Drosophila melanogaster: one gene and its partners. The protein of the gene in region 2 interacts with the protein of the main gene of each other region in a pairwise test. Each region holds a gene or a part of one and is shown on either strand. Other genes may lie near its edges.

Region 1 (10,013 bases), on a different chromosome or scaffold from region 2:
ACTGAAACTTTCGAACTCGAAATTTGGGCAGTCACACCGTAATGATATTTCTGTCTTTATGGTTTTTAGATCAATTTTTCGGTTTTTTCAAAATTTATTCAGATCAGTAAAATACAGTATTATGGGGGACTGCGCAGATGCAAAATTAGTTAGTCGAGTTACGGTGCCACCAATACCGAAACTTGGCGACATGCACATGTATTGGGTGTGGCGAATGCTGATTAAATCATATTTGGATGCTATAGGTCTTTGGTCTGGAAATCACCCAAAGGAGGTAATATATATACTGTTAATAAATATGGTGGTTAAATCTGCACAATTCGTTATTTTAAGAGCGCCCATACAAAATTTGTGCTGCTGAGCACGTTGGAAATATGGGTTGTAAGAAGGGAATACGATGAAATGAGCAGCAGGTCCATTTTCGAAGATCTCGAGGAACGATATGCTATCACTAACAATGACAAACGAGGTCAGTTGGCAATGGATAGATTTATTTAAAATCAATAAGATTTGTTTTTATTAGACTCTATGTACAACTTTTGATTGCTGCCTGGATTACTACTGTAGTGTAATAAATCTCAAACTTCAATATATAATTATATATATTTATAAATTTGGTGAAAATTGTCGATCTCGGACGGTTGGATATTATATTCATTTAAAATTTGTCATGGTAAGCATGCATAAAATTGTACAAAACACATCACACTAGCTTAAATCTACTTTCAATGAAATTATATTTTAAATATCAACCGAAGTCCCGGGAAATATACCAGCTGTGCTCATTTTGAGCACACCAGTGCTGCCCATCGATTACCACGCGTTAGTGCCTGTGCGCATCTAACGCGTTAGTGTCTTCCAACTTTTGACACATCGTTCAATAAAAACAAATCAACTTCGAATGCTCGAAAAGCAGCAGGAATATTTAATATAACGCTAAACAACTTAAATTTACTACTCTCAAAAGTAGAAGTGTATCAAAATTGTAGCTATTTTCAGTCGAGAACCAAGAAGGAGCCTTAAAAATGACACGTAAGTAAGGGCATCATGAAGCCATTTTGTTAATACTGCACAATGTATTAAATGTGCATGTAGATCCACATACATATGTATATCTATCTATTCGTCTAAATAACAAATTAACTAGGATTACCTCCAGTGTCATGCAAAATCGTAATCTCCAAAATATGATAAGAGAATTAGAATTTCGACCCGAAAGTAATCCTGGGTTTTCGCGTATAGAGCAGGCAAAAATCGATGGACAAGCAGAGGACATGTGAACGCCTCTAACCTCTCATAGATTATGTAGATCACATTTAGCACGCGCCACTAACCAGCTGCCACGTATTAACCAATTATAATATCACCAATTTAATAGGCGGCAACCAACGAGACCTGGCCCGCCAGAAGAACCAGAAGAAGCAGGCGGATTTGACCAAGGGAAAGCGAACCGATAACCTCACCGTGGAGCAAAGGAAGGCCAGGTGAGTGATTTACATTTTCAATGTATAATGTATAAGATATAATATTATTAATAAACCAACCCATAACGCAGGGACGCTGAGTTAATGCGGGAGAAGCAGAAAAAAAAGGAAGAGGCCGCTGCGGCGGGCACAAGCAAATAGTCAACCCACTGGCTTGATAGAGATCTGGACTCCCGGTTGCATTTCCGGACAGGTTAGGCTTATAGTCAGTCGTTCGTCAGCCAAGACCCCGATTCGCCCAAGGACCTAGGATAGTTGGTTAGAATGTACATGAAGCAACATACATAATTCACGAGAATTGTATACAACTACGCATAGATATTACCGGGCTGTACAGCACGCGACATAGCAATAGCAATAGCAAGTGCCACCCAAGGACTTCGATTCTGTTCCGGTTTTTGTTCATTTTCGTTTGCAGTGCTGCTGTACGATAATTAAGTAATCTTACATTTTATTTCTCCACCTACCTGACTAAATTATTTACTGTAATGTATATATATAAATTTTCAAATAAAACATAATATGCAGCCGACAGAAAGACTCAATTATGTGTTATTGTGTTTGACGAAAATATATATATAGATTATGGCACTCGATAACGGTCGATTGCTACCGAAAATTAACTTTAACTAATGAATCCCTTTTCTAGCAAATATGGTCGCCGAAGAGAGAGATATAAAGATTGATAATCCCAGAGCAATCCCCATAAGTATAGCTCAAGAATGTTAAATATAAGCCTTAGATCTTTAAAATCGGAGTATGAATAGGGCGCTGGATACGACCTACTAAACTTCCTGGTCTGATTTAAGCATGACCTAATGAGGTATTTAATTTGCCTCGAGTCATGCTGAAATTTGCATACAATGGAATATGGATATTTGTAAATGGCACGATTTGATAAATATGAAAGTAGCTGCATGCCAAAGCTTGCCCCACAAAACTATCGCCTAGATGCCAATAAGTCGATTGCTAGCATTTACCTTTTACAGAATAAATGACCAAAAACCTGGCCACTAACGACTGGCAGATGCACACAAAAAACATGCTGCTAAATAAAATTTCAGTTTTAGTTTAATTTTATTTTATTTATGTATAAGAAAAGATATCAAGAAACAACAACGAATTTTGCGCAAGACTGGTAAACTAAGTCATTGAAACTTAAATACTGTGACTTTTATCTTTTGGAATACCTATCTGTTTTCGAATAGATCTTCATACATTGTGCCACAGTGCACGGTCTTATTCATGGCCAATAAAGGCAGATGGGGTCATGGCGTGCTGATGTATCTTCGGCTGAAATCTCGAGTTCCTTCAACGAGGAAAACAACACGGATGTAATGAGAACGTCCACTGATTTGTTTGACTTGGCTAGTGCAATGCGCTGTAGAAGATCGCCTCACCATTGTTTGACCAAGTGCTTGATATCTTCATGCCGGAACAGCAGAGCAACGTGGGCCATCGAAACGCCTAACTGGTTTCTGCTGTTTCTGCCTCGGAGAAAGCTTCTTGCCGGTCACGCAAAAGCTGTCTTAACTAAAAACAGCGTCCAAGTTTTGAGAACTTTTCAGCCAGCTAGCCGAGAACGAGCGGAAAAATCAACTAACGCTCGCAGATGTGAAAAATCGCGATCGCGAGTCGGCTCTCACGTTGGCGGCAGCAGCCCGCGTTTTCAGTCGCTCCGTGAAACCCGTCGCACTCACATCGAAATCGCGCGCAAGTCGTCGGATCCAAATCGCCTCGAAACGCTACGCACTTGGAGGAGGCAAATATCAAATATATGAGAATAATTAGTTAGGAGGCAGCCGAATCAGCGGAATCAAATCGATTTCCCTCGACTGCATTTAGCAGTGCTGCACCATCAAATCAAAAATAAATTAGAAAGTGTAAGTGAATATATGGCTGGCTGCCAGGAGACTGACATTATCAGCGGAGAAATGCAGGCAGTTGGCAGCCGATTGGGCGGATCGGGAGATCAATCGATCGCCGTCGCATGCAAATCGAGTGATAAACGATCGCCTCGAAATTGAAATAACAGGCGAGCAGCTGGCCCCCGGAGGTGGATACATATGCATATGTGTGATCAAACAGAAGTGTTTCTCGGGGAAGGGCGGCGTGAGGAGTGGGAGGAGTAGGTAGCCCCCAGTAGCCATATACTCATATACCTATCTATACTATACAGCCAGTTACCCGACTTGAGGCGCGCTCGTCTGCCTTGCGGTTGTATGTGCTTATTTATACAAAATATATTCAATTTCATTAAGCTGTCGCTGCTGGCTGGCCGTCCAGTAATTTCAATATTCAAATGATCGCTGATAGCTAAACCCCCTGACTTTTTTACTTTTCTGAGCGCCCGCAAAAGCTGCGGTAAAATTGAGAAAACCGCAGCGTATAAATAATTGGAAAACAATAATGCCACTGTTTGATCGCTGACCCAAATTGGCAGAGAAAATGAATGCATCTTAATGAAAACAGAGTCAGTCTGTTTGCTGCAGGCATAGCGATCTATATAGTCGATGCACTCGGTGATGTCAGAATTGCGAACTGACATTGAAAGTCTGCGAACGGCGACAACCTGAAAGCCTTCTTCTTTGCCTTTTTGGGGACCTCAAGTTGAACACGTTGCGAGTTTAGGGATAAGTGGGCCATCCAGCCCAGTGTTCAGGTGTGCGGGGGCGTATACGTAATATGCGCGCCTGGCATACATTTCAACTGAGCCACATTTTGGCTATTCGCCTCAGTCGCGAACCATAAAAATCACATCAAAGCCCCAAATGAAAGCGTCGTTCATTGAATCTTAAGTGGCCACTCCTCCTGGGAAGTAATTATAAAGGGAAATAAACGGTCTTCAAGACAAAACTGTTTCTAATCCATCCACATTTGGCAAAGTTCAGTGACGCGCATCCACTTGGAAGCAGTGAAAAATGAACAATGTGAAGGTTACTCAATTTACAAGGCAACAGATAACGCCACCAAATTTTATTTGACAAAAAATATTCTGGCAGAACAAGCCAAGGCGTTCGCACACCTACGCCATACGAGATGGCACATGGGCGTAGAATTCTCGACGAACAGGTGTTGAAAATCATAAGGTGGAGTCCCATTCCTGACCCCAGACAGCCACTGATCAGAGATTGTGAGAGCTGTTCCAAAAGTTCCACCGCTTTTGTCGACTCTCTAGATTTCTAGTTGCTCGCGACCTTGTGATCTATTAATAAGTGTTTCGTGTTTTTATATATGAATCATTTTGATGGGCGATCTGTTTATGAGTTAACTTTCGTTTGGCTGGGAAAACGAAAAGCCCAAAATCCGAAAGATCCCCGAAAATTGAGTTTTTGATCGCGTCCAATGTCGCGGCTTCATTGACCCTGAAAACTATGTAGTGTCGACAGAACGAAAAGTATCTCATGGATGCGCGCACATTTGTATCTTGCGTCTAAAAGACGCCGCTGCCACTAGTAATTACAAAATCTTGTTCGGCAAACGGAAACTTCAAAGGCTGCAATTGAGTTTGCAGCTGCAACGGTTTTAATTGATTTATATGGCAAGTCGAGTAATGTTTAAAAAGCCGCGGAAAAAAGCCAATTTGACAAAAAATCAAAGACAAAAAGTCAAGTGGGAGCTGGAATAGCAGAAATAAAAAAAACAAAAAAAAAACAAAAATGCGGCGTGCTTTGGACCTGTCAAATTTGGTAGAACGATTTCTACCGGTTTCAAATGGACCTAAATAAATGAAAAAAAAAAACAGACCCGGCCACTCAAGTGAGCTCCCACTTTCTGTCGAAGATTGTAGATTGAGCAATTTCCAGCCACATACAAAATGACTTTGTCTTTTCGATAACTTTTGTGCCTGGCGCAAAAAGTAGCGCAGAAAAATGTCAAACTTAATTACGCGTTGAAGCGCAAACTAATTGCCGAGTGGATTTGCGGGCTTCAGCGGGCAGCAGGGTCACAAAAGTTCGAATGGCGATAAAGTCGACAACAGCCAAAGCCGAGAATAATTGGCTTTGGCTCCGTTTTGCGGCCCACGACAACAGATAATAGCCGCACACAAAAAAGTATCTGTCAGATATACATATTTAAAAGCTGGACACGTGCTCATTGCACACGAAAATTAGCATTTACTTGTGGATCGAACCCATTTTCCACAAGCATAAAGGCAATGGCAATTGAAATGATTTATATGAGCATTATTTCACTTCGCTTTACTAGACAAATGGGTCAGCTTATGGTTAATGGGATACGATAAATGATTACTTGTGTTTTTATAATTTGAATTTTATTGTAAATACTTGTAGTTAAAATAATTTGTATTATAAATTTTTATTGAAAGTTATTATCTCATATAAAGTAATAACAATAATTACAATATGACTACGTTCTGAGACCATTCTACTATTTCGTGGTCTGACCCACAAATTTTGCAGCCTGCGGTAAATGTTTTTTGTTTTCCTTTTCTTGGCTTGCATTTTCTAAAGCCACTTTCTAAAATAAATATAAAATATTGATGTATTCCATGAAAAACGTCAAAAATTCATGCTTGAGTAAGTGCATTCCCAATGCCTTTTAATTTGTTTGTCGACAAACTTTACCTTTCACAAAACCGGCAGCATCCGCCACACTTTTACTCCCACACCATCACACTTCAGACCCAAAGCAACTCCATCCAGCTACGTAGTGCACGTCCAACTGCCCAGTTGCACTTGTCAAGTCAGAAGACTTTCCAAGACTCCAAGCCTACGTCAAGTGGAGGCACGAATTCCTCGGAAAGAGTCGCCCACGCCATGGCTTGAACTTGACTCCAAAAGCTGCGAGTCACGCCTATATATACATATAGTAAAACCACTTTGTGTGAGGCGAGCGGAAGTCAACGTCAGCATTAGATGAGTTCATTGCGAATATTAACGCCATTAAACGAATGAGTGGGCTGATCGCTTCCATATCGAGGTTGTCTACCCCTTTCCACTGATATGGAGAAGTCTCTAATTGTTCGCCGAGGTCTAAAGTATCTTAGCTTTACTTGGGTTTGTTCTTCTAACCAGGTCAAAACAGCGATATCGCATTGCCGCAGAAAGTAACCCAAGACGTTTGTCTGAGTTGTAGAAACCAGACAAATGCTTTCTGCTCGGATCTGTATCCAATTGAGGTACCATTTATAAACAGACGCAAACGTGGAGATCGTCTGAGTTAAAAACCCGTGCGAAACGCGTGTAAACGGCATGTTAATGCGCCATATGTCCGGTTTATGAGCCCCGCCGCCAGTTTGTGACGAAACTATAAAAAAAAGTTTTTGAACTGCTATAATTTAAAGAATGTGATGTGATCTTCGGCACGCACCCTCACCGCCGCCCCTGATAATTGCGCAATTTGTATAACACTTCTGTTGCCCAGATTGTTCGCATCTCTTCACTGTGTTGTTGTAGGTCGTTTGAGGTGTGAAACTCAGCGGAAATGGGCTTTACATACAAATGGTATCTGTAAATGTATCTGTATCTGTTCGCTAAACTTTAGTTGTTTGCCCAAGGCATTTCCCAGCCAGCCTTTCTATAATGACTCAAAGCGTTTCCATGTAAGACAAGATATTTTGGCATGTGATTATCTCATCCAAGACCGCCGTGAGCCACATGTATACATCAGATATATCACATGGATACACAAGTGCCCGCATCCAATGGATGCAAACCAGCTGCAGCGGCATTTGCAAGTGCCAACATGCGCCACATCAATCTGCAGCCGGTCCGAGGCACGTTGAGCGTTTGATTAATTTAATGACAATGCCCGGTGGCGCTATTTCGCTATCTGGATAGATGGGTGCAACCCACATATGTATACTCGTACCAGTTCCGCCGATCGTGTGCGCATGCACCGATGATATAAACTTTCCCAAGCTCGCCATCTCTACTGCCATTCCAGCTCGAATCCCTGAAGGAATAGTACGATTAAATTAGTCATTCGTGTCGTTGATTTATTTTAGAGCTTCCATAAATATAAAGCTTACGTCTTTCAAGTATTTCACGCTTTCTGTCCATTGTTTTCTTTGTTTCTTCTATTTTTAAAGCACATTTGTTTAATAAACATTTATTTTTTTTGTGTGCTTGACGTCACAACTGGTAAAACTGTGGAATTTTAATGTTGTAGTATTGGTTGTCTTTACTTTTGCAATAGTTCGGATATTTCAATTAAGTTACAAAACATATCTTTGTCTAGTTTTACATGAGTATATCGAGAACTTACTCACTATTCTATTGCTGTGTTTTTATTCTTTTAAGTTATATGTGTTCAAAATGGTACTTGAAATTGATGATTGTGTTTCTTAATATTTTCAGCTGGTAATCACAATATAGATTTGCCAAAATGCCGAAGCCACTGTTAAATTCGTGCTGTCTGTGCCAATCGACCCGGAATGGCTCCGTTATCTCGGGCATACTGGCGATAGTCCTGTCGATCATCACCATCGTGGTGATCTTCACGACGCGGGTGCACTTCAAGACGATAATCTTTGACTTCATCCCCAATGACATTGTTAAGATAATTCTAGTCATCAATTTGTGCATGACGATCTTGATATCGCTGCTCATGATCATTGGTGCCCTGAAGGTGTGTACTCAGCTAATTTAATTAAATGCATACAATAAAAATCTATCTATGTTCCAGCGGAACCACTACCTGATGGTTCCATGGGTGGTCCTCGGCATTATGATTGCCATCGGTCTGCTGATCTCCGTCATCTACACGGGCATCGTCTTCTTCATCGACGGCTACGTGCTGACGGGAGTCCTCTGGCTGATCTTCGGCCTAATTGTCTGCGGTAAGTGCACTCCCTCTTGGTTGGTGAAAAATGGGTGAGGGGGGGGGGGGGGTCTTGCTACTTCTCCATGTGCGGTTTTTAGCACCGGATGACGGTTATTGCGAGCCGTTTTTAATTTATAGACGCATTTATCATGCCATGATTGCCCGTGTGCTGAAAACAGAAGTGCCCCGGCGCCGCAGACTAGAGGATTTTGGAGGTAACTTGCCGGGTGGTGCAAGCAAATGAGGCGCAAAGTGGCTTGTTGAGGCCATTTGTAGAAATGTCAGCTGCAGAACTTTGATAGGAGTTTATTGGGAAAGCTATACGATTGTTAAATAAGCTCATTAAATGAATCAAACAAATTTAATTGTATTAATTCAGCGGTATAAAAGTTAAAGAACCGAATCACATTGTGAATGCTTCAGGTTTATACATATATTCCTCGCTTTTTTTTTACTTTTGAAAAATGATATTTTTCAAGTTTTACAAATTTGCATATTAAATTTGATAAAAATTAAGTGCTTACCGAAAATGAACCACATACGAGTTAAAAGTCAATTTACATTACATCGTGTAAAATCGGATGCAATTCATGTAGAATATAAAATGACAGCACTCTTTTGCGCGCACATGCCCTAACCCAATGTTCCTCCTCCATCTTTCAGCGATTATGACCTATTGCTGGTGCGTGGTCTATAGTGAATACGCCAACCTGTCCGAGGAGAACGAGCGCGGTCGTTACAACAAGCAGCCGTACCGTCGCTAGAATCTCCAGGAGCACTATTCATCAGAAATTGCATTCAAGAAGCTGAATCCACCACCCACACATCTTCATCCTAGCTTCCTATGTTCGTTTTTAGTGATTATGTCTAACTAATAATTATAATTTAGTTGAGGCGAGCCAGCCCTTCGCTCACATCGAATTTACGCGGCCCGTGGCATTAAGTGCAATGGAATTATGTATTTAACATTTAAATAAAACTTTAATCCAGATATTATGTGAATTTCTGTTGTAATTTGTACGTAATACTTGTAATTGTGAAAGAGGAGTTCAAAAACCGAAAACTAATAACAAAAATAAAAACAAACTATTTATCAACCGTTTGAGAGGACGAGGTCTTGTGTGTTTGTTGTTTTTTATTTCAAAATATAGGTTTTATCTTTAGGCATATATAGTTATATTCAATTCTCTCAAAGTCTATCAAAATTGTAAATTAACTAAAAATATGGATGTGTAGGGGGCGTTTCATGTGGTTGTTGTTTTAGCTAAGTGGGCGTGTTCCATGTAACTACACAAGTAACTGACTGCGCTCTACAGCTCGCTGCGCGAGTACTTGGGCTTCAGCTCCTCGATACGCTTGATGAAGTCGCCCTTCTCCAGGCAACCGTCACAGCTCTCGTCCCAGTCGTTGAGGATTTTCTTCAGGTCGCGTACCTTCAGCTTCTTCAGGTCCACGCTGTTCAGATCGATTTGTTTCTCTGCAATGAACAATCCACATAAATAAATGTTTATAGAAGTATATTAAGGCGAAGAGCAGCGACAGAAAAGCTAAATGTTAAGCCAAGTTAAGAGTTTTTGTTTCTAATAGACACCCTAGATTAATTGACTCTTAGTAAATGACGATTAACGTTTTCTAATAATCTAAACCATTAACATTCATTTTACAAACAGACCTATCTCATAAAATGTAGAATTTTATGCGAGTTACCACAAAATAATTTAACAAGCTATGATATAATAG
Region 2 (5,607 bases):
GAAAAACAACAAGTTTACAACCCGAATATATTTCATTAGTAGATATTTACTTATATTTATAAAAACAAGTATTACACCTAACCTATTTTTGCAGATAAGTATTAATTGAATATAGAAAAATGGAAAAATATTAATTAATTTTTTTATCAGTTTCATTAAGTATTGTTTCTAATTTAGTAAAATACTTTACTTGCAGTGTATTTTTGAATTGCCTTCAGCAAAATGCGACCCAAGGATCACCCTGATCTGCACTTCGACGTGATTCCCAAGCTCTACGATGCCCATTCCAAGGTGTTTCTAACCAGCTTGTGCGATGTGGATGAGCAGCTGAAACTATTGCCACGCCGATTCTGTCGGATGTACACCACTCGGCCACTGGCCACCCAGCTGTTTCAGTATCTGCAATCCCGCAAAGCGAACGTTTCGGAACAGGACTTCCTTGTGGTGGAGGAGGGCCAGCCCTTCGCACTGCTTCTGAAAGACGGAAAACGGTTGGAAGGGATGCTATGCTCTGGAAGTCATCTGGGACACAGCCTCATTCTGCTTATCCGGCGGCAGCAGGGTAACAGATTGCTGTACTGCTACTCGGCTATGAGGCTGGATAATCTTGGTCGTCTACTGGGCAACTCTGTCTTCAACTCTTGGATCGCCCAGGGAACCGAGCAGCTGTATCTGAATCTGTCCTCTGTAAATTTGCCGTTTGATCATATTGATTTTGATGAGATGGCACATTTCATCGAGGATCTCGGAGCAAGAAATGACCAGAGTATGGTGCACCTGAAAGTGCCAAAATTTGGCTACGAGGAAATGTTATGGAGATTGGCACACACAAGTCTTCGCGGGCATATTCATTTGGGCGACCACATTGCAAAAAGCTATGAGTGCCTTAGCATCGATCTGGAGCGTTTTCTGGAGGAAAATTATGTACCAAGGGTTTTCGTCAGCGGTTGCCCGACGGACTTTAATCACTATCAAAAGGTAGTTTCCTTGGATCTAAAGGAACTAAAGTGGACACCGACTCCGACCAGGATGCATCTTCGGCAGCTATGCAGCCTCTTGCGACCTCAACACATCCAGGGGATTGTTCAGTTTCATACGGATGGCATTGTGCCTCCCATTCCGTCATTCCTAAAGATCTTCAAGGCAAACTATTCACCGCAGAGTGGTGCAGTGGTCTCAAGGATTAGGAGTGAATTTCAAGCAGGACAGCCGAAGCAAGGACCCTATCACGCTTTCCGGTCCAGAAGGGCCTTTGAATTTGTGAACGATGGCGACGAAAGCAGTAGTTCGAATTAGGTTAAAGTATCTCCCTATTAGAATAAGCAAGTCGTGTAGCTGTTGTTCCGCACAGTGCCCCTAGGAGTTTTATTTATCCAAACGCTTCACAATATATAAAAATAAATTATTTGAATTGTCTTGAATTAATTTTTTTGATCAGTAAGTGTATCTTCGTCGGACCAGGAATCGGCAAGTCGCTCAAAAGCATCAATGTCTATTTCCTCCTTTACTTTAAAGGCTTTAAGATCATCAGCCGCATTCTGGGATTCCTTGGTAATATCACAGCCGAGTGAGAGATCCATCCCTTCTGGTTGCTTTTCAATTAGCTTTATGGTGTCCTCGTTGCACTCTTTTAAGGATTCCATGTCCAATGCATTCTGGGTTTCGGTCGAAGCGTTTACTTTGGTAATTTGATATTGTTTATTAAATTTAGGAAGTTGTACAATATTTGATGAACGTCTATTCATCTCACACATTTTGGGAATTGTGAAGAGTAGAAACAGCCCTGATATTTGAATGAATTTTGTTATTTTCTTTCATTATTTATTAATGATAGACTTACCTAATTGGCCAACAATTAGAAAGTTAATCTGCTTTCCAAGTTTGCTAATTATTAGGAGAAGGCCAAACCACTTGAATGATTTCGAAAAGCTCTTTACTAGTAATATCTCTCGTAGATTATTTAGAAACGCAACAACTTTGGTTGAAACTAGAACACCCAGTTGCTTAGATAACTCCTGGGAGATTCTTAGGTCTATGTCAAGATATTTCGGATAGCTGTTGTTCTGGATATGGGTATTAGTGTACTGTACCAAAAAACGGTACCCCATTGATATGACCATGATAATCAAAGCCCATACGCTCACCACGAACACAAGCGGTTCAGAAAGCAGATCATAAATTATGGTCTGTAGCATTACGAATACAAGCATCGACTTTATCCAGTTGCGCCACAGGATCAGCTCAGTTATTCCCTCCCAGATGCAGATGAGTTTAGCTTCGTTTACCTCCGCACCGGCTCCAGAAACTTGAACAGAGTTCGCGCTTGTGGCCATATTTTTTTTTTTTTTGAGTTTTTAAGACCTTTAGTACTGAGAAGATATACAAATTACAAAAACTTGGATACGATTGCAACGACAGTAAACTATTCGAATACTAGATTATATTTGTTTTCTATACCCATCACGCGTAGAGTACTAGATTTGTTGAAAGGTTTACCTTTCAGATGGATTCTTTATATTCTTGATCAGGATTGATGGGCTAGTCTATATGTATGTACAATATATACTTATGGCTGTGTCAGTCTGTCCGTCCGTATAAACGTCGAGAGTCTGTGAACTATTAAAGCTGAAAAGTTTAAATTAAGCATGCAGCTTGTTTCACATCCACACATTATTAAATTATAATGTGGAAATTATTGAAATTACCACCACTAACTGAGTAGCTGCCAGTTGAGGAGCTCGTATATAAATATATATATTTATATACATCTATATGCTATATAATACGAGATGCATGTCAAGTACCACCGATACAAGAAAGATCCCAACATTTAACCGCCAAAAGCACCTGTTGCCAATTCGTGTCATCTGTTTAAAAATATCCTTTTACATGAATTATGCAAATTATTCATAAATTGCTTTGTCTTTGCTTGGGGTTGTAAATGGGTTTTCGCAGATACATAATTTGATTGAGTTTGAGCTATCCTTTCTATCGCAAGATATTTAACTTCATATTCTATTTCTGTAATCGGTGATAATAAATTCATTTTAGCTTCTGCTTTTGTACCTATTTCTCTAACCATAGGCAATTTATGTTTTTGAAAATTAAGAATTACTGGTCGTATATTTTCTACTTGATCCCTTACTTGAACGATTGTTAAGTCAAACAGAACGCTTTTCAAGATCTCTTTGTCACAGCTTCGTTCGCGTTTGATCCGCACCGTCAACAAGGTCTTTTATTCCAATTCTTGGAGCATCCTGGGCAAATAATTTTGGCACGAGGTGTGACCAACGCCCATTGAGGGTGTGGTTAATGACACTCAGCCTTCTGTCTGCCAAGTCAATCGCTTGCCAATTGATTTGTCAAAGGCATTACGCTAATATTTTGGGCAAATACGGGAAAAAGTCACTGGCGTCAAAATGACATCGAGTGGTTTAACTTTCCACCCTCAAGATTCAGAAAATAAATGACTTTTGGGGAGGGTAGAGAAAAGAATACTAAAATCGGAATAATTTAAATCAATCGTTCAAAAGCTTTTGATCGCTCGCAATTGCTAAAGGGTCCACTTAATAACAGTAGTATATGTTATATATAAAAAACTTTAAAAGAAAATAGTAGATTCAACAAAATATGATGAATATAAAATGAAAACCTTTCAGTTTGTCGTAAAACAAATATTTCCAATATATTAATCCTGTTTAACAGTCCAACTATTCCCATTTGTAATAGACATTTGTTCATCACCCATTTGAGATTACTTGAGAAATCCTCGTAATTTCTGCCGTCTTCATTTAGAATTACTGGAATTAATATGCAAACAGCAAAATCGATGTATTTGCACATGTATGAATGCAGTTTAATTAAACCAAATTCCCCCATAATGCTCACATCACAAGCTGTACAGGATATTAGAATGTTTGACAAGTTGTCAATGCATCAAGATGCAGAGGACAAGGCAGAAAATTGGCCAGAAAATCTTATCGTTCATTTTGAATGTAAATTAAAACAAATACACATAAAATTACTTAAAACTGCATTGAGTTTCTTTGGCTCCTGTCACAAAATGATGGCCATTTCCATGCAAATGCCTAAAATGTAAAAGGTCGCTAGGGCACGGCACTTTATTTACTTTATATACTTTATTTTTAGATTTTTTAAATATATAAATATTATAGCCAACATATTTATCACACCGTTTTGTGCTCTTTTTATAAGATTCTCCAATTGTTTTTTTAAAAGGTCAAGAAAGGGGAATAGTAAATTGGTTCACAGATGTGACCAGACCAGATTTCTTAGGGTAGTGTCATAAGGGACATAAGACAAGGTCAACGTCTAAAAACCACCTGAAAATCTCAGCAAATATTCTTCTTTCGGCCCGATAAAGTTGTCATACGAGTTCGGCTCCTTCGACGCATTCCCTTCGACTTCTTTATGGCCAGGCGACAATGTCAGGAATTTCTTGTATTAAAATCGAAATGGCCAAGGGCCAGAAATCCATCCCAGACATAGACAATCGTATCTCTGTGAGATGGGGGCCAGTGAATATTTGGGCTTGCCCCTGAGTTCCGGCCGTGTCCTTACAGCTGTCAACATGTTTAATTGAAACTGACACTCAGTGTCATTTTATGTACATTGCTATGCGTTGCCGTTACCTTAACTGTAACTGTAATTCGACTTGGCCAAATCCAGCTCCATTATTGCGGAACATTTCGAGAGGGGGTTGTTGGCCCCCCGAATCTGCCCGTTTCGGGGGTCACATCGCATTGCAATGTAAGTTGCTTCCATTGTGGTGTATTAGTTAAATTTATATCCTTGGACTTCTCTCTCGACTATTTTAGCTAAAAAGCAAGTCCTCTTTAATTTGAATAATGTTAAAAATAAATCACATTTTGCAGTAGAGTGTTTTTTCTCTGTAATTTAAGCACTAACACCTTTCTATTTCATATTTTTCGTTATTTATTCAAGCGATTTTTACAAGCTGATACCTAATTTTCTTTTTTGCATTTTTTGTCAATTTAATACGGTCTTTATGTTCTTCGTACTGGCAGTTCTGAGTGCTGACTTGATATCTCCTTACGAAAACCCCCATATCATCCATACTCAGCGGAATCAGAAGAACTTTAGCCCCTGCAACACTTCAGCAATAATAACCCCCCGAACTCATCCAAACTGTAATTATTATTGCTAAGCTCGTGAAACGGAGAAGCGAGCCCTCATTTAATTGCAGACTAGCAAATACTCAAGATATTTTTATGCAGGCAATTCGTATTTTTTCCGTTCGGAGCTTTTCCGCCATTTCGATAGGGGAAAAGACAGCGGCCTCTTTTGTTTTCGTCACGGGCGAGTGGCGAAAAGCAATCAGGACAGCTCCTTGCCAGGAAAAGCAGCAGGCAGGAATATCTTTCGCCGCATTTCTTTATTTTCGTTTTTGTTTGTGCATTTTTGCAGGATGTCTTTTGTGTTATTGGTGAAATTAGAATTTCTCATTAAAATAAGTGTTGGCCGAGGGAGCCGCTTGACTTGAGACATTCAAGCGTCTCCCAGTTCAAGGTGCTCGTCCATGGCAATGGACTTAAGTCCGAATTCCCATTTCCCCCCTCGTTTTTC
Region 3 (9,719 bases), on a different chromosome or scaffold from region 2:
GCTGCTGGATGGAGATGTGACCACCTATGACATGGAGAACGGGTATACGCGCCACTGCATTACGGACAGCAAAGATGCGGGCATTGTGGTCGAATTGGGCACGTTCTGCATGATCAATCACATTCGCATGCTGCTCTGGGACAGAGACAGCCGGGCGTACTCCTACTACGTTGAGGTGTCCGGCGACCAGCAGCATTGGGATCGCGTGGTCGACTACAGCGACTACCACTGCCGCTCCTGGCAATACTTATACTTCGAAGCACGACCCGTCAGATTCATTCGACTGGTGGGCACCCAGAACACTGTAAACCGGGTAAGTCAGCAGTGATCTCTTCAAACTTTCCCCATTCTTTAACTTTTTCCCTTTCCATTAATATATAGGTATTCCATGTTGTGGGTCTGGAAGCCATGCACACGGCCAAGGTGCCGCGTTTAGTTAACCATTTTGTGGCGCCCAAGACGAACGTGGCCACCGTAGAGATGAGCGCCATTGTGACGGACGGCGTGAGTCGCACCCGCAACGCGCTTATCAACGGCGATTATGTGCGCTACGACTGGGACTCGGGATATACTTGCCACCAATTGGGCAGCGGCGAGATCGTCGTCCGTTTGGGCCAACCCTACTATTTGGGCTCAATGAGGCTGTTGCTGTGGGACTGCGATGATCGCACCTACAGCTTCTACATCGAAATTTCGACGAACCGCAAGGAATGGCAAATGGTCGTGGACCGCCGCAACGACAGGACCCGCTCCTGGCAGAACTTTCACTTTACTCCGCGTCCAGTGGTCTATATCCGCATTGTGGGCACACGCAACACAGCGAATGAGGTACGTAGCAGTGCAGCGCCACAAAACATGTCCGATAAGCTAATGCTCTCCTTGCTCTTAGATCTTCCACTGCGTCCACCTCGAATGTCCGACCCAGGACAAAAACTACTTAAAGAAGATAGCCGACATGGAGAAGGAGCGCGAGAAGAGGGAGAAGGAGAAGAAGACGGCCAAGACTGACGATGACAATATTGCCTCTACCTCGGGATCCTCGTTGGCTTCAGGCCATGCTGAAAGTCCCTCCACTTCCTCCAGCAGCAGCCAAAGCGTTTTAAGGTCCATCCACTGGCCGCCACAGACAAGGGAAGTGGCCGTTGCCCCACTCACTCCGCCAGCACTCTCCCCGCCCGGCACGCCAGCACTTCCGGCTCCTCTGACCCCGGCAACCTCGTCGCCGCATAACAACCATGAACAAAATCAGCCAAGTAATATCAGTGCAGACGCAAGCCACCACACCAGTCCAAGTTCAAGGAGCAACCCCAGTCCCAGCCTAAGTAGGAGCAGAAGCCAGAGTGCGGAGTTGGAGCCAGTGCCGCCATTGGTTGAGCTTGACACCAGGGAGACGCTCTGAGCTGATCGCCGCTGCGGCCGATAATGTTTTGTACTTGAAATACTCCTGTGGTCTGTTAGCTGTTAGTCTCCGCGCTTAGTTATATTTTGCAGACCGTGCTGCTCTTGTTATCTAGTCCTTCCCAGTGCCCCAATGCTTGGTGGTTCCAAAACCTGTGCATTGCATATTGGTTTTGCGTTATTACCTTCGTTATATACTATATGTATATACATATATATATATATAGATATATGTTTTTATAATTTTATTGTGATCCAAAAATAATTCCTTATGTTTGCAAGGCAGCAGAGTTATTTATATAAGCAATATAACTGAATTCTATGCACACACACACCCACCCACACACACACCACACACACACACCACACACACACACACATGTTTAACGCGAACTCGAATGCGATTTCCGAGCAGCTGAACCAAAATTGTATACGATATCCGATCGCATAGTATAAATCTGTACTGTCTAGCCTTATGTCCGGTCCATGTCCTTGTCCAAATCAATCCATTTGATCCGCAACTCGTAGTCTTTAGGCTCATCGAGCGGCCCAAAAATTAGGCTCTATTTATTAGGCAAATTTTGTCATAGTTTGTATTGCACGCAAATAAAAGCTAACCAAAAAAATGAAAACACCGCTTATTGTTTCACTTGCAAACCAATCGGTTTCTTATAAAATTTTTAAAGTCCCTCACACATTTCAACCACGAATTGTGCCGTGTGTGACCACTGTGCACCACACATGCCACCCACTGTTGCCCCAACATCCACAACACGCTCCACTGTTTTGAAATTCCGATCAGAGGCGACCCACGGCCGTGCTGCAGCGGCAGCCATAAAAGTCGAATCAGAACGTTAAACCAGTTGCGACGCACAGTGGGCGTTGGGAAGAGAGAGAGGGACGCCGATCCAGCGAGCGAATCAGAAAGAGATGGCGAAATGCAGTGCTAGCCAAACGGGAATTTGTGGGTTCTTGAAGAAAACTAAAAAAAAAAGAAAATATTACTCATACGCCGCGTTGTCTACATGATTTAATAATATATATTGCATATTTTGTACGGATGGTTTTAATAAAATGTAAATGTTTTATTGAGAAATCTAGACAACTGTATTTATTTAATAGTTTTACTTTTATTTTGGAATGAACACAATCACACAATACGGTCAATCTGGCCCACTGTGCCGATTATAACAGTTAGCGGCGCAGGCGCAACAAACTAGTTTGCCCCACAAGCAGCGGGGAGTGGCAACTAAGGGGGGTGGGGGGTGGTTCTATTTAGGGCGTTGCAGGGGCGTCGTCAAAGGGCGCGCGCAACTAAATAGCCAACTGACTAACTAACTAACTGGGAGAGCGCGAATGTGAGTGTAAGTCCGAGTGGGAGTGGGAGAGCGAGCGTGAGTGCGCTAGTGTGGAGCGGAGCGGCGTGCGGTTAACCGTTAGCCTGCAGCGGCGGCAAGTTCAGCTCGCAGTTCAGTTCAGTCGACCAGCGGCCGCCGTGGACAAAGCAACGTAACGCCAAAGCAATCGCAGCGCAGCTCATGGATATATAGCTACAGTTAACTACCAGATACTAAACTACACACATTTCACCACATACCCAAATATACCCACCACACGCGGCATATATCTCTATATATATATTTGAGAATTAGAGGCGTGGGGGTTTAGGGGGTGGGGTGGTAACTCGCGCGAGGGCGTCACACGCGTTCATATACATCAGATATAGATATATAGGGTAGCTGCCGATCGACCAGCGAACATATAGAAAGCGGTGGTTATTTTTCTCATCTTATTTTATTGTGACAAAAATCGCGACAAGTGTTTAAAAATAGTTGTTGTGCCCAGCTAATAAAGTAAACTTGCCCGCCAAACTGAAACTGAAACTGAAACTGAAACTAAGCCAAGCCAAACTATAAACAGCAACAATATGGTCGAGACCGTTGTCAATATCGAGCGCACAACAACAACAACGACGAACGGACCGCCAGGTGGAGCGAACCCGACCGTTGGCAGCGGTGGCGGCTTCTGGAGCGCCATTCGCCTCAACATCGACTATTTCCGCACCATACCGGGCATCATCAAAATTGTGGAGTTTGTGAGTACATACAACTAGCTGAGATATATCACTACTATATTTTTATAATTCATTATAAAACAAATGAAAATCTAATACTTAATATTGCAACATATGATATTTCGAAACTATTGAATACGATCCACTTGAGTAGAAGTCTTTTAAAAACTGAAACCAAAAACTGGGCCAAATTTCCAAACATATCAAAATTATGTACATTACATGTTTCTAAACTCTTAGATTTAAAATATGCATAAATGTCGGTTTAAATAGAACTTAGGAATGCGATTATGTTGAAAAAGTACCATAATGTACATACATTATTTTGTGGAATGCTAAATTCAGACATAAGTTTCCGAATTTGGCTGTTATCGTATTTCCTCGAAACTGATAGAGCCTTCGAAACATAAAGTTTCAGAGGGAAATATTAAAATATACGTTGGATAATTGTTGTAGAGAAAAGTTAGAATTCCTCATAGCACTCTTATCGTCATAAATTGAACGGTTTTATCTAGAGTTTGCCTTCCGCCACCATTCTTTATCGAGATATCTCGAGACTTAAGAAACCCTAGAGCCTCGATGTGTACTCAATTACACAAATATGTATACAATATGCCCGACAACAAGTGTGTTGTGCACTTGCCCCTTTTGTGTGTACATATGTCAGGATCTCATTAGACTTACGACGGATAAGATAGGGGTAGACAAGTTGTAGGAACTGCAAACATGTGAGCTCCATGGCCATGTGGTCAACTCATAGCCCTCTTCTTGTATTCCACAGACGTTAAACACTTAACGCATTTGGCCTGGTATTCGAAGCTATGTATGATCTATCTTTTTTCCCACAAATCCGCAGCAAAATGAAGTTAAAGTGTGGGCGATGCAATCGGTATGCGACGCCAACACAAGGTACTCGCAATTATATGAGTGGGCACTGGGGTAACTCAACTACCGCTCGGATGGATCACCTGCTCAGGTGTAGAAAGTTTTCAGGCAAAAATTTCTCTATTCTCAATGGGCCAACGCTTGGTGGGCACAAGGTCAAGGGATAACGACAAGTGCTTGGGACCCACATGAAAAATGCATTATTAAGCGCTCGTCAGTTGTTACGGAGAAAATCAATAGCGGATAAATGGGAGGAGTGCTGGGTGCTTCGATGATATGATTACCGTCACAATAAGCTGTCGTTTATTAACTTATATATATTGATTTTCTGTTCTGAAAATCGGCTATTATCAGGCGACTAAGCTAGTTTAGCTGACGGCTGACGAAGTAATTTGCGGATGTTCTGGTAGGACTTATTTCCAATTCATATACTAATCTGACCAAAAAAGGAAAGCAAATACTTGTCATTCAAATATGCTTTGATTTCACCAATGGCTAGTTAATTTTCTTTTTCGGTTAGCGGTGTGCCTGTCGATTGGGATATTTTTGTGGCAACTAATCTTATCGGTACCCTTAAGCGATAGTCTGCTGATAGTCGTCTCAGCGCAGTGTGAAATATGTAAAAGTGCTCCACTTGAGAGTTGCCACAAAAACAGGGCCGTAATTGCAGCTGCTCGTTTCCCAAATGCCAATTGATAGGTATTAAGCCCGTTAAATAAATAATTCAAATTGGGCCAAATGGCGGGAAACTTGACCACTTTCATGGCTATCTATTTTAAGACTTTTGTTTCTTGAGCTTAACTAAATTATATTAGATTATTGGTACTATAGTTCGAATTTGACTGCAGTTTTGACTGTTTTCACCGATTGTGACTCATTTCGAACAATTCTGCGAATATATTGAGTGCCATAGCTAATCGCTCGTTACTCATACGCACCGTTATCCGAACAAAGTGGACGATAATGTGGCGACCACCTGTTTGCGAGCGGAGAGGAGCAGACCGACGATATTTTCGGTAGCCATGCTCCTGCTGATAAGCCAATCGATTCCTGACACCTGACTGCCGATCGTTAATTTGCCCACGGACCATTACACATACTCATCCGCCCAGTGGTCCCAAATCATACCAACAACAACAACAACAACAACAAAGCCCCCGAAATATAACGCTTCTTTCGTATCTTATCGTTGGCAATTAGCATTTTGGACCCAGCATTGCCTCAATTTACTTACCATACATATTCACGCGATGCCCCAAGCATATATGCATTCCATGGCCAAGTGTGCTCTATATACATATATACGTACATACACATCGGAATATCTACGAGTATATGCAAATTCGGAAAGAGAACGATTTATTATTAAGTTTTGTTGGTCGCGGTCCCTGCCGTTCGAGAATATTTTTTTTATAATAGCCTAATTACGTAAGACGTGTATTTTGGAAGCTGCCGACGGCATTCTTATTGTTTGGCATTGTAGCATTGTCGTGGATTTTAATTTTAATACGAATGTTTTAGCCAAAAGCGGAAATTATGACACAAATACGGGGTGTCATTCAAGAAATTGTTAACCACAAAAATGCGGGGGAGGCGAAGAGATCTGGGGAATTCGAGCCGAAAGTCACTTTAGACAGATGCTGGCGTTTGTTGGCGGTTTGTTGATGAAAATGCGATCGATCGTTGTGGCATCATGTACAGTGCATGCCATAAACGTAGGCTGTTTGGCTTGTAGCCGAAAGCAGTTAACTTAAACTATCGGAAATATAAATTGTATATTGCTACTATCTTATGGGCGCACTTTTTCTGAAACCTCAAATCTTATCCCTTTTCAGTTATAAGTTTCAGTTAGCGTCTTGCCTTACAGCTGCGAAACGGACTGCACTAAGTGCACATGGCTATGCAAATACGTGTGTGTTTGCAAACTGTGTGCTTGGGTACATTTTAGGTAATTGACGCTGACTAAGTGTACGGCGCTCAGGAAAGTGAGCTCATCTTTGAAGCTCCGTCTTGGCCCTGTTAACAGATTGTTAGCCAACAAAAGGGAGGGCATACATATGTATGTATACAATTCAAGGGCATTGATCCTTCTATTAGATAATCCAGTTATGGTTGTCCATTAACTTCGAACTATATATATATTTGTACCACCACAATTGGAATATTTGTTAAACATTGCGAGGATATTAGCTTACAGGTATTGTTTAAACTTTAAGCTTTCGAAGAAAGAACATTATTTATACATATGTAGTTGGAAGTTTGTAATCTAACGATCTTGTTGTTTATGTGCGACCACTAGAATTTCTGTGGCTTCCATTGAACTTCAGACGAGGCAGACGCGGCTAGGAACCGTAGACCGTATAATCGGAGGCCAAGAACTCGATCCATTTCAGTGGCGTTTCGCGTCATTGAATTTCGCTCGAAAAGTAAATAATTATGTTGCTGCCCCGATCGATATACCCAGATGCACCCAACTCTCTACGCAGTTTTTCATGCTCCACAAGGCAATTTGATCGTTGCCATGGAACTAAAGATTATGGTTATATGTATATGGTTATAAGAACTTTCCAACCGTGCACATAAGAACTGATTAACACATACAAATGTGTATATATATGCCAATCTTGTCGTTATATATACCTTATGTATGCATACGCAGAAGTAAAAATAAAAATAAAAAGCCCGCCATAAATTATGCTTAGAAAAGATAAAATTCGTATAATTCCCAGACGAATTTCTCTCTGGCTCTTTTATTTTTGAAAAGTGACGCACAACATTTGTGGATCACAAGTGCGAGGCTAAAAAAAAAAGTATATAAGTCAAATGAAGAATACGAACACCATTTGGAAAATGCATGAATCCAAGATCCAAGATCAACAAATCTCAACAAATCGCTGACAGTTCAATCAACCTTTGATATGCGGCTGCTGTGCAGTTAATTGTTTACCAGATAGCAAATAAGAAACACACACAAAAAAAAAAACAAAGGGGACAACAACAAGATGTTGCTATCAACAGGTCGCTTTTGGCCTGGGCTACAACTTTCAGCTTTCACTTTTCGTGTACCTTTTGTTTTAGCCAAAAACACAATGCTCAAGTCGACTGACTGCGCACACCTGTTTGATTTCTTATTTTGTTGCTGTGTCGCCAAAAGCTTATTGCCATTTAATTGCCTAAAACAACCACGAATGTGTGTCATCATCGGCACCTGTCATCCAGCTTTATGATCTTAGTGTTCCTAACTCACGAAATCGCCCTGCGAATTTGCTTGAAATGCGATAAGGTTCTCGAAAATGACTTACAGATAGTTCAGTATACATATATTAACAAGTTATTGGTAATATATACTGAGTCATTCATAGATACGGGATACTGTTACCTCAGTTTGTTTGAAATATGACATAAACTTAAGTTAAGTTGAGTAAAATGGAGTACCTAATTGTTTCTGAGCCATTTTACTACAAGCACATTTCCAAATAAATCTGAGCTACATATGTATCTATGTACATATGTATCTATGTATCTGTGCAGTGGCATTCTTTGAATTCACCGCTTAATTAGCTGGAGAACAAGGCGACATTCTGAGCACAGCCTCTAATTTTTCATGGCGTGCATTCAATTGAAGGTGACATCACGACATGCTCACTCCAGATTCGAAATCACGACCTTGAAGAGGCGCCTCTCAATTGGAGGAAGATCACGATCTGGGTGACTATACATATATGTATTACAACTAATAATATAAGATGCTATGCAATCTATACATCTCAAATATGCATTCAACTTTACCCTAAATAGACATTGCATAAAACTGCACAATTACGATTTAATGCGACAGATGGCGCTTGAATCTTAAAACTACTCGTATATTATTGCTTCTACTGCGACCTTGTACACTTACACATTTACCCATCTTTTTATACACACCAGGTGCTGGGCATCATCTGCATGGCCCTGGCAGCTCCTCCACTGGCCTCGGCCACCTCGTTCTTCATGTTCGTCATCGTCATCTCGTTCATCATCAACATTCTGCTGATCGCCGCCTATTTCCTGGGCATTCGCGAGGCCCTCAACGTGGCCGTCAACTGGATATTCTCGGTGAGTGACAAATGGCAACTAACTGCTCTGGATCATTAGTATGAACTAACCCACCCAACTGCTACTTTGTTTTGCCCAACAGGAGCTGATCACCACCGCTGTGCTGACGCTGCTGTACTTCATCGGATTCATCGTCCAGCTGGCCAGATGGTCGGATGCCACGGGCAAGGGTTCCGGTTCGAATACCGCCGCCGGTGTCTTTGGACTCTTCAATTTCCTGGCCTACGCGGCGGGCACGTACTTCCTGTTCCTGGCCCACAGGTCCGGGGCTACCCACTAAGTGCAGCCAACTCAGTGACTGGATCTTAGTCTAGAGTTATTTCTAATTGTTTACAGAATAAGTGCAGATCGAGTACTTGTAATTTTGCCTCTTTTTTTTGTACTTTTGTTTTTTGTTGTTAATTAACGTATGCAGCAGATTGACAATGGAAAGCGACATGGCTTTCTGTTTTTAATGTTATTTTTATTTAAATGGCTAACTAACGTTTAAGTCTTAAATCCACCCGCACAAGACCATATCTACGAAAACGAGTAGGGTGGGCAGCCCATATAGTACATAACCTTTTATCATTTCATGGCGTACATATAATGATTTTGTAATTTTTTTGAAATGTATTCAATCGAGACAAAATAATATACGTAAATTAATTAAATTTTTTTTGTTTGTCCTTCACATATAGTTGAATATAACGACTAGCTTAGCTTGTTGAGAGGATAATTAGATCCTAGTTAGATGTGGCCCACCCTAATCCGTACACACACATGCACCAAAAAGCAAAAAACACGCGATGATGAAAACAAACAAAGAGCGCACAACAAAGATTTGAGTTCAATATATTATTTGTATTTTCTCAACCACTGCGAAAGTGAACACAATCTGAAATGAGGGACCGACCACCATGTGGGGCGACCTATCAAATCAAATTATTAATTTACTACTGGGCTCGTGGGAGCAAGTCCTCCTCGACGAAGAGGTGGACAGTGTGTTCGGTTGGTGCTACGCCATCGTGGTGTGACATTTGCTGTGGCCGGGGCTGCTGCTGCTGCTGCTGGCGATCGAATTGGCCCACCACAAACGGCGGCACACTGGGGCTAAAAGTACTTCTTCATCTCGTCGTAAAGGGCGAGAACCAGAGCACCGCCCGTGCCGCGAATTATGTTCGATAGGGCGCCCTTGAAAAAGGCTCCAATGCCCTCCTGCTTGGCAATCACCAGCCAGCAATGGGCTGTGTTCTTGTACACCATCTCGGACTTCTTCAGGCCA
Region 4 (4,986 bases), on a different chromosome or scaffold from region 2:
AGAAGCTCCATTGCTGTTGTAGATTCGACAAACATAGGAACTTTCCACACCTTGTTCAACAAAACACTGCCGCAAATGCCACATGTTAAGATCAAACTAAGACGACGCACAGATTGAGATTTTGGACCAAACCCCTCCAGATAGATCGTATAAATAGCAGACACAGATCTGGATGCTGTATAGTACTTGAGTACAGTGTTCAACAGACAGAGCTTAAGATGAGACCCGAATTCGTCCTGGCCTTTGGTTTGGTTGTCCTCGTGGCGACCGTTTATGGTGGCACCGACTCATCCTCGAGCGACTCGTCCTCTTCCACATCACCCACTTCCAATTCATCGACTCCATCGACTTCCAGCTCAAGTTCGACACCCAGCTCTTCGTCCTCCACCTCAACTCCGTCCAGCAATAGCACTACGTCTACTTCGTCCTCCACTCCTAGCAGCTCTTCTTCCACTTCGCCCACTTCCTCCACCTCATCGACGACTGCCACAACCACGGCCCCCTCCACGTCCAGCGACACGTCCTCCTCCTCCACGAGCTCCGACAGCGAGGAGGTGGACAGGCTGAGGCGCAGGCTTCGCAGGCTCCGGCGGCTGAGGCGTCAGGAGAGGCGCCAGGAGATTCGCCGGGAGAGGCAGCAGGAAAGGCGCCAGCAGAGTCGTGCTGGAAGAAGGCGCCAACGTAGGGGATAAACCATCGGCTTAACCCGATCGAACAATGAAATGGTCCAAATTGAAAAATAAATGCATACACAAAAGCAACAATCGTAGTTATGACTTGGTAACTTGGCACCTTAAAAACAAGTGAAATCATTTGGATCGAATTGTTAGTCAAACAAAGAAATTCAATATTCGGTTTCATCTTGGAAAAGAAGAAGAAGGCTACACTATATACTCTAATGAAGAATCCTAAGTAAATCATTTTCCGATCTAGTTAGTTGATCAAGTGGAACTGGTCTAAGTGCAGACATAATTCCAGATGATAACTTAATCGATTAGGAACTTGCAAATGAAAGTGAAAAATAGGAGTTTGTTCTAAGTTTTCTTTTAGTGAGAATTCATTCTTTATGTACAATATGCCATCTTAATCTTTATTTAAGCTTAGAGGTTATTTAAATATGGCTTTCTGTTCAAAAGGCTTAACAATACATATTCATCTATTTAATAAACAATGTACCGTGTTTGCACACATGCTAACAATACGTTCAGCCAGCCAATCCAAAAAAAAACCGTTTTGTTTAATTACTAACGAATTAGAACTTTCCACAGCCATCAACAGCTTTCGCGCTTACAGAGAAGATAGTCTCGTCTTTTTATTGAGTTTAATCTATTTGTCTTGACGAGAACGTAAAATGTACTCTAAAACATTCAAAGCAAACACAGATTCGACAATTAAAGCGAATCAAGTGGATCATCCCTATAAATACTCGGATTTAAACCACTATCCACACAGTACTCCATTTAGTGACAAACTGAGCTGAAGATGCGTTGCCAATTCGTTATCGCCTTTGGGCTTTTGGCCCTAATAGCAACTGCCTACGCCGATTCTCCACCTGCGGCAGGATCCCCACCCGCGTCATCTCCACCGGCTGGAACCCCAACCTCGCCACCTCCAGCGACTGGAACACCGCCCTCACCATCCCCAGCGACTGGAACACCACCTTCAGCATCCCCAGCTGCTGGTACACCGACCTCGCCAACTCCAGCGACTGGAACACCGTCCTCGCCAGCTACTCCTGATGCGCCCGCTTCCTCGACATCACCAGCTACGCCCACATCGCCCAGTGACAGTGGATCCAGCAGCAGCCAGGAAGTGATTAGGCTCAGGCGTCGGCTGCGCCGGCTGAGGCGTCAGCTCCGCCGCGAGAGGCGTCAGGCCAACCAGAGTAATCAGAATGGAGGTGGTGGTCAGGGGCGAGTGGTTCGCCGTGTACACCGTCACCGTCGTCTATTGTAAAATTCACGAACATGTTGGCTACGAATTTGAAATAAAATTCCAGACAGAAATGCAATAAATCTAAAAAAAACATAAATGTATTGAATGGCTTTTTAAATTAGAGGAACCATCGCTCTTTTTGTAATGCATACATTAGTAAACTAACTTATATTTGCCCAACAAACTTTCTAAACATTGCAATGAATATTTCGAATAGAAGCGTTCTAAACATTGAAATAAATATTCTGATTAGGAAGTTCGTTGCACATATTTAATTCAAAATGACCGCGAAACGGTGCTGCCAGATGTCTGAATTTCGTGCACTGCGGAGCGGATCTTCTTTCTACTAAGGCAGGAAGGGTCATACTAACACCTCCACTTCTCACCAAAACAAAGGTTACCCCGAAATTTAATCAAAATAAATCGAAATGCCGGTGGATTGGTTCGGATATGTGTACGCAGCCACGGTCGCCGCCGGAGGAATCATGGGATACGCCAAGGCGGGTAAGTGACCAGCCCCCTGACCGTGGTCATGTCCGATTGTGCAACGCCCTGCATTCCAGGTTCCATTCCCTCGCTGGGTGCTGGTCTGGCCTTCGGAGCCCTGCTCGGCTATGGCGCCCACCTCAACTCCCAGGACACGCCTCGTCCCCTGCTCCAGTTGGGCACCTCCCTGTTCCTGGCCGGGCTGATGGGCGCCCGCTGGAACCGATCCGGAAAACTGATGCCCGCCGGAATGGTGTGCATGCTATCCGTGGCCGCCTTGGTCAAGAACCTGGCCACCTATAATCGCTACCTAATGCCCGCCGGCACAAAGGCCCCTTAGGCTAATTTCCGGCCACATGCTGGACTTGCCAGGAGATTGCCCTACCTTCATTCTTCATTCGTATTGAATAGGTTTTCTACTTTTCGGTGATTGGAACTTTGGTAATGCGCTGTGTCACTTTCTAAGATAGTGATTAGGAACTGTACTTGCTGCAAATATATTTTATCACCTATGCTTTTAACTTGTGGACTTCTTTGTACTCAATTGTAATACTTGGTCACATTTAATAGCATACTTTCAGGCACTTTGGTATGACAGTTCGCATAGAAGCACAGAAATACACCATTTCGTACATTCAAATCTTTTTTTGTATATTTATTGTTTAACTTAGCTTTTGTTTCTTTTGTGTGTGTGATAAATTTACAGTTTCATCTATTATACGATGTTCAGTTAACTACAACTAAAACTTAGCTATTACATTTTGTTGCTGCATGAAAAGAGCATTAGGCTAGGTAAACGTAGAGTGATGGATTTTTTTTTTTTTTTAGAATTTAGGCTTCTAACAAGTTTATTACAATAATGAAGTGAATAATTTGAGTTTTCTGCAGGCAAAGTGCGGCAAGGTAAGTATATTATCGATTCTCCACCTTTCTAGCATTTTCCCAACAGGAAACGATAAATATTTGTTAAGTAGAGTGTACAAATTATATATGTTTATCACATTGGAAAGTGGGATTATTATTAAATTTCCTTTCGATTGATTTGTGGCTCAAGAAATAATTTAGGTTGTCTGCCGAAAGTGCGTGCATGTGTAGATGAAGTTTTTACAGAATTATATGTACTATTTTACAAAATTGTTTGCATTTTGCATTAAATTAGATTACATAATATATGCGTGTACTGAACATAACAACATTGCTGGCTGCTGCGTTGCCCTCAGCAAACAGGCAATCATTTAAATTAGAATTAGCTGCGGCTAGAACTAACAACAAATCAATAGGGTTTCGTACAGAGTATAATAGTAATAAATTCTAGCTAAAAACACTTTAAGCTGCAAACACTTCTTCCAATTTCGATGGCAGTGACGTCTGCGTGCCAGTTCCAAACGTTCCCCCAATGCGGCTGCATTTTCACACTTTCACTAGAACGGAAACAGCTTCCAGTTAACCACTGCGGATGCCGGATGCGGAATGCGGTAACGAAACGGAAGCGAGGAAGAAAGAGAGAAAAACGCAGGAAATTAGTGATTGTGGTAGCATACAATTCTCGTGGGGCGTGCAAAAACAATGAGCTAATTTGGGAAGTTTTATTTCGTATGCATTAGATAAATATATATTTTTTGCAGACGCCGGCCATTTTGAATTGTGTGGGTGGTTGTGGTTGTGTGGTATGTGCGTGTGTTCCATTCCATGCGTTTCCACTTGCCAAATTACTCTGTTTCACTCTTGCCATTTTGCTGTCTTAGTTTTAGTATGCAGAATGCGTTCTTGATTCCATGCCACTCTTGTTGATCAAATAGAATACTTAATTGCTACAGTTAAAGATGTTCTGATGTAGTTTCGATCGGTTTTGCCTTCAAACAGTGTGTATGCGTGTGTGGTGGTGTGAGAGAAGGAGCGTGTGTGTTTGTATGCTGGTATGTGTGTGCATGTTTCAATGCCAATTTGGTTTCTAGTTCGATTTTATAGTTTTTTAATGTGTGGGGCGAGTGTTCGATGCAATTTTGGAAAAAAAAAAAATAGGCCGAGAACTAAACCGCGCAAATAAGGCAAGAATCAGCGATCGTCGAACTCGAAGTCGCCAGATATTGATAGATAGGTGGTATGAGAGATTTCTGCAAGCATGCTTTATGAGATCTGCGTAGGATGTGTGAATGCGAATGTCCTAACCGAGCTGTGCCCGCCTTTCGGAGACAATGATTTCGTTTCGAATCGGGTGGTCTGAAATGAGAGTCTAAGTTACGCTTAGGGTCATGCCAAAATAAGATAAGATTCAAGAACTACTTTTCGGAACGCTCCAAGGCGACTCCGTGCTACGGGATTAGATATGATCGATGCAATGCCAGATGCCAAATGCTTAAAGTACGAGGGTAATCCATATTACAGCTAAATGGACCGTCACGCATGAGTTTAGCACTTGCACTTCGATGCGTCGACCCTGACAACCAGGATTAAGTTTGAGTTTGATTAGAGGCCAGGCAGCGTGGTAGATAATAATACTGCTATAACTATCGCGCATCCATGCTCTACGGTACACTAGGCCAAAGCTTTAGACTACTAGGGGGA

The links.
Region 1: the proteins of CG42853 (region 2) and CG10311 interact in a two-hybrid assay, tested with the Drosophila melanogaster proteins (one large-scale study listed by BioGRID).
Region 3: the proteins of CG42853 (region 2) and CG15211 interact in a two-hybrid assay, tested with the Drosophila melanogaster proteins (one large-scale study listed by BioGRID).
Region 4: the proteins of CG42853 (region 2) and CG5532 interact in a two-hybrid assay, tested with the Drosophila melanogaster proteins (one large-scale study listed by BioGRID).

Annotation. Positions count from the first base shown.
Region 1 is NT_033777.3:16,350,154-16,360,166, reverse strand, and holds CG10311 (uncharacterized protein), read left to right. Parts: upstream 1-3,151; 5' UTR 3,152-3,367; intron 3,368-7,807; 5' UTR 7,808-7,835; coding exon 7,836-8,078; intron 8,079-8,135; coding exon 8,136-8,289; intron 8,290-8,936; coding exon 8,937-9,037; 3' UTR 9,038-9,381; downstream 9,382-10,013. Other genes in the region: CG42446 (uncharacterized protein), read left to right, coding at 59-274, 334-469, 524-543; CG17931 (uncharacterized protein), read left to right, coding at 1,026-1,032, 1,379-1,484, 1,556-1,625; Manf (mesencephalic astrocyte-derived neurotrophic factor), read right to left, coding at 9,584-9,750.
Region 2 is NT_037436.4:18,119,595-18,125,201, forward strand, and holds CG42853 (uncharacterized protein), read right to left. Parts: upstream 2,396-5,607; 5' UTR 2,334-2,395; coding exon 1,841-2,333; intron 1,784-1,840; coding exon 1,422-1,783; 3' UTR 1,338-1,421; downstream 1-1,337. Other genes in the region: CG7341 (uncharacterized protein), read left to right, coding at 223-1,296.
Region 3 is NC_004354.4:10,769,674-10,779,392, forward strand, and holds CG15211 (uncharacterized protein), read left to right. Parts: upstream 1-2,867; 5' UTR 2,868-2,953; intron 2,954-3,094; exon of another isoform or gene 3,095-3,124; 5' UTR 3,125-3,325; coding exon 3,326-3,493; intron 3,494-8,287; coding exon 8,288-8,455; intron 8,456-8,537; coding exon 8,538-8,735; 3' UTR 8,736-9,308; downstream 9,309-9,719. Other genes in the region: BTBD9 (BTB (POZ) domain containing 9), read left to right, coding at 1-313, 382-828, 890-1,399; Ant2 (adenine nucleotide translocase 2), read right to left, coding at 9,548-9,719.
Region 4 is NT_033778.4:23,750,467-23,755,452, forward strand, and holds CG5532 (uncharacterized protein), read left to right. Parts: upstream 1-2,287; 5' UTR 2,288-2,363; coding exon 2,364-2,439; intron 2,440-2,498; coding exon 2,499-2,761; 3' UTR 2,762-3,049; downstream 3,050-4,986. Other genes in the region: CG12491 (uncharacterized protein), read left to right, coding at 219-692; CG11300 (uncharacterized protein), read left to right, coding at 1,483-1,956.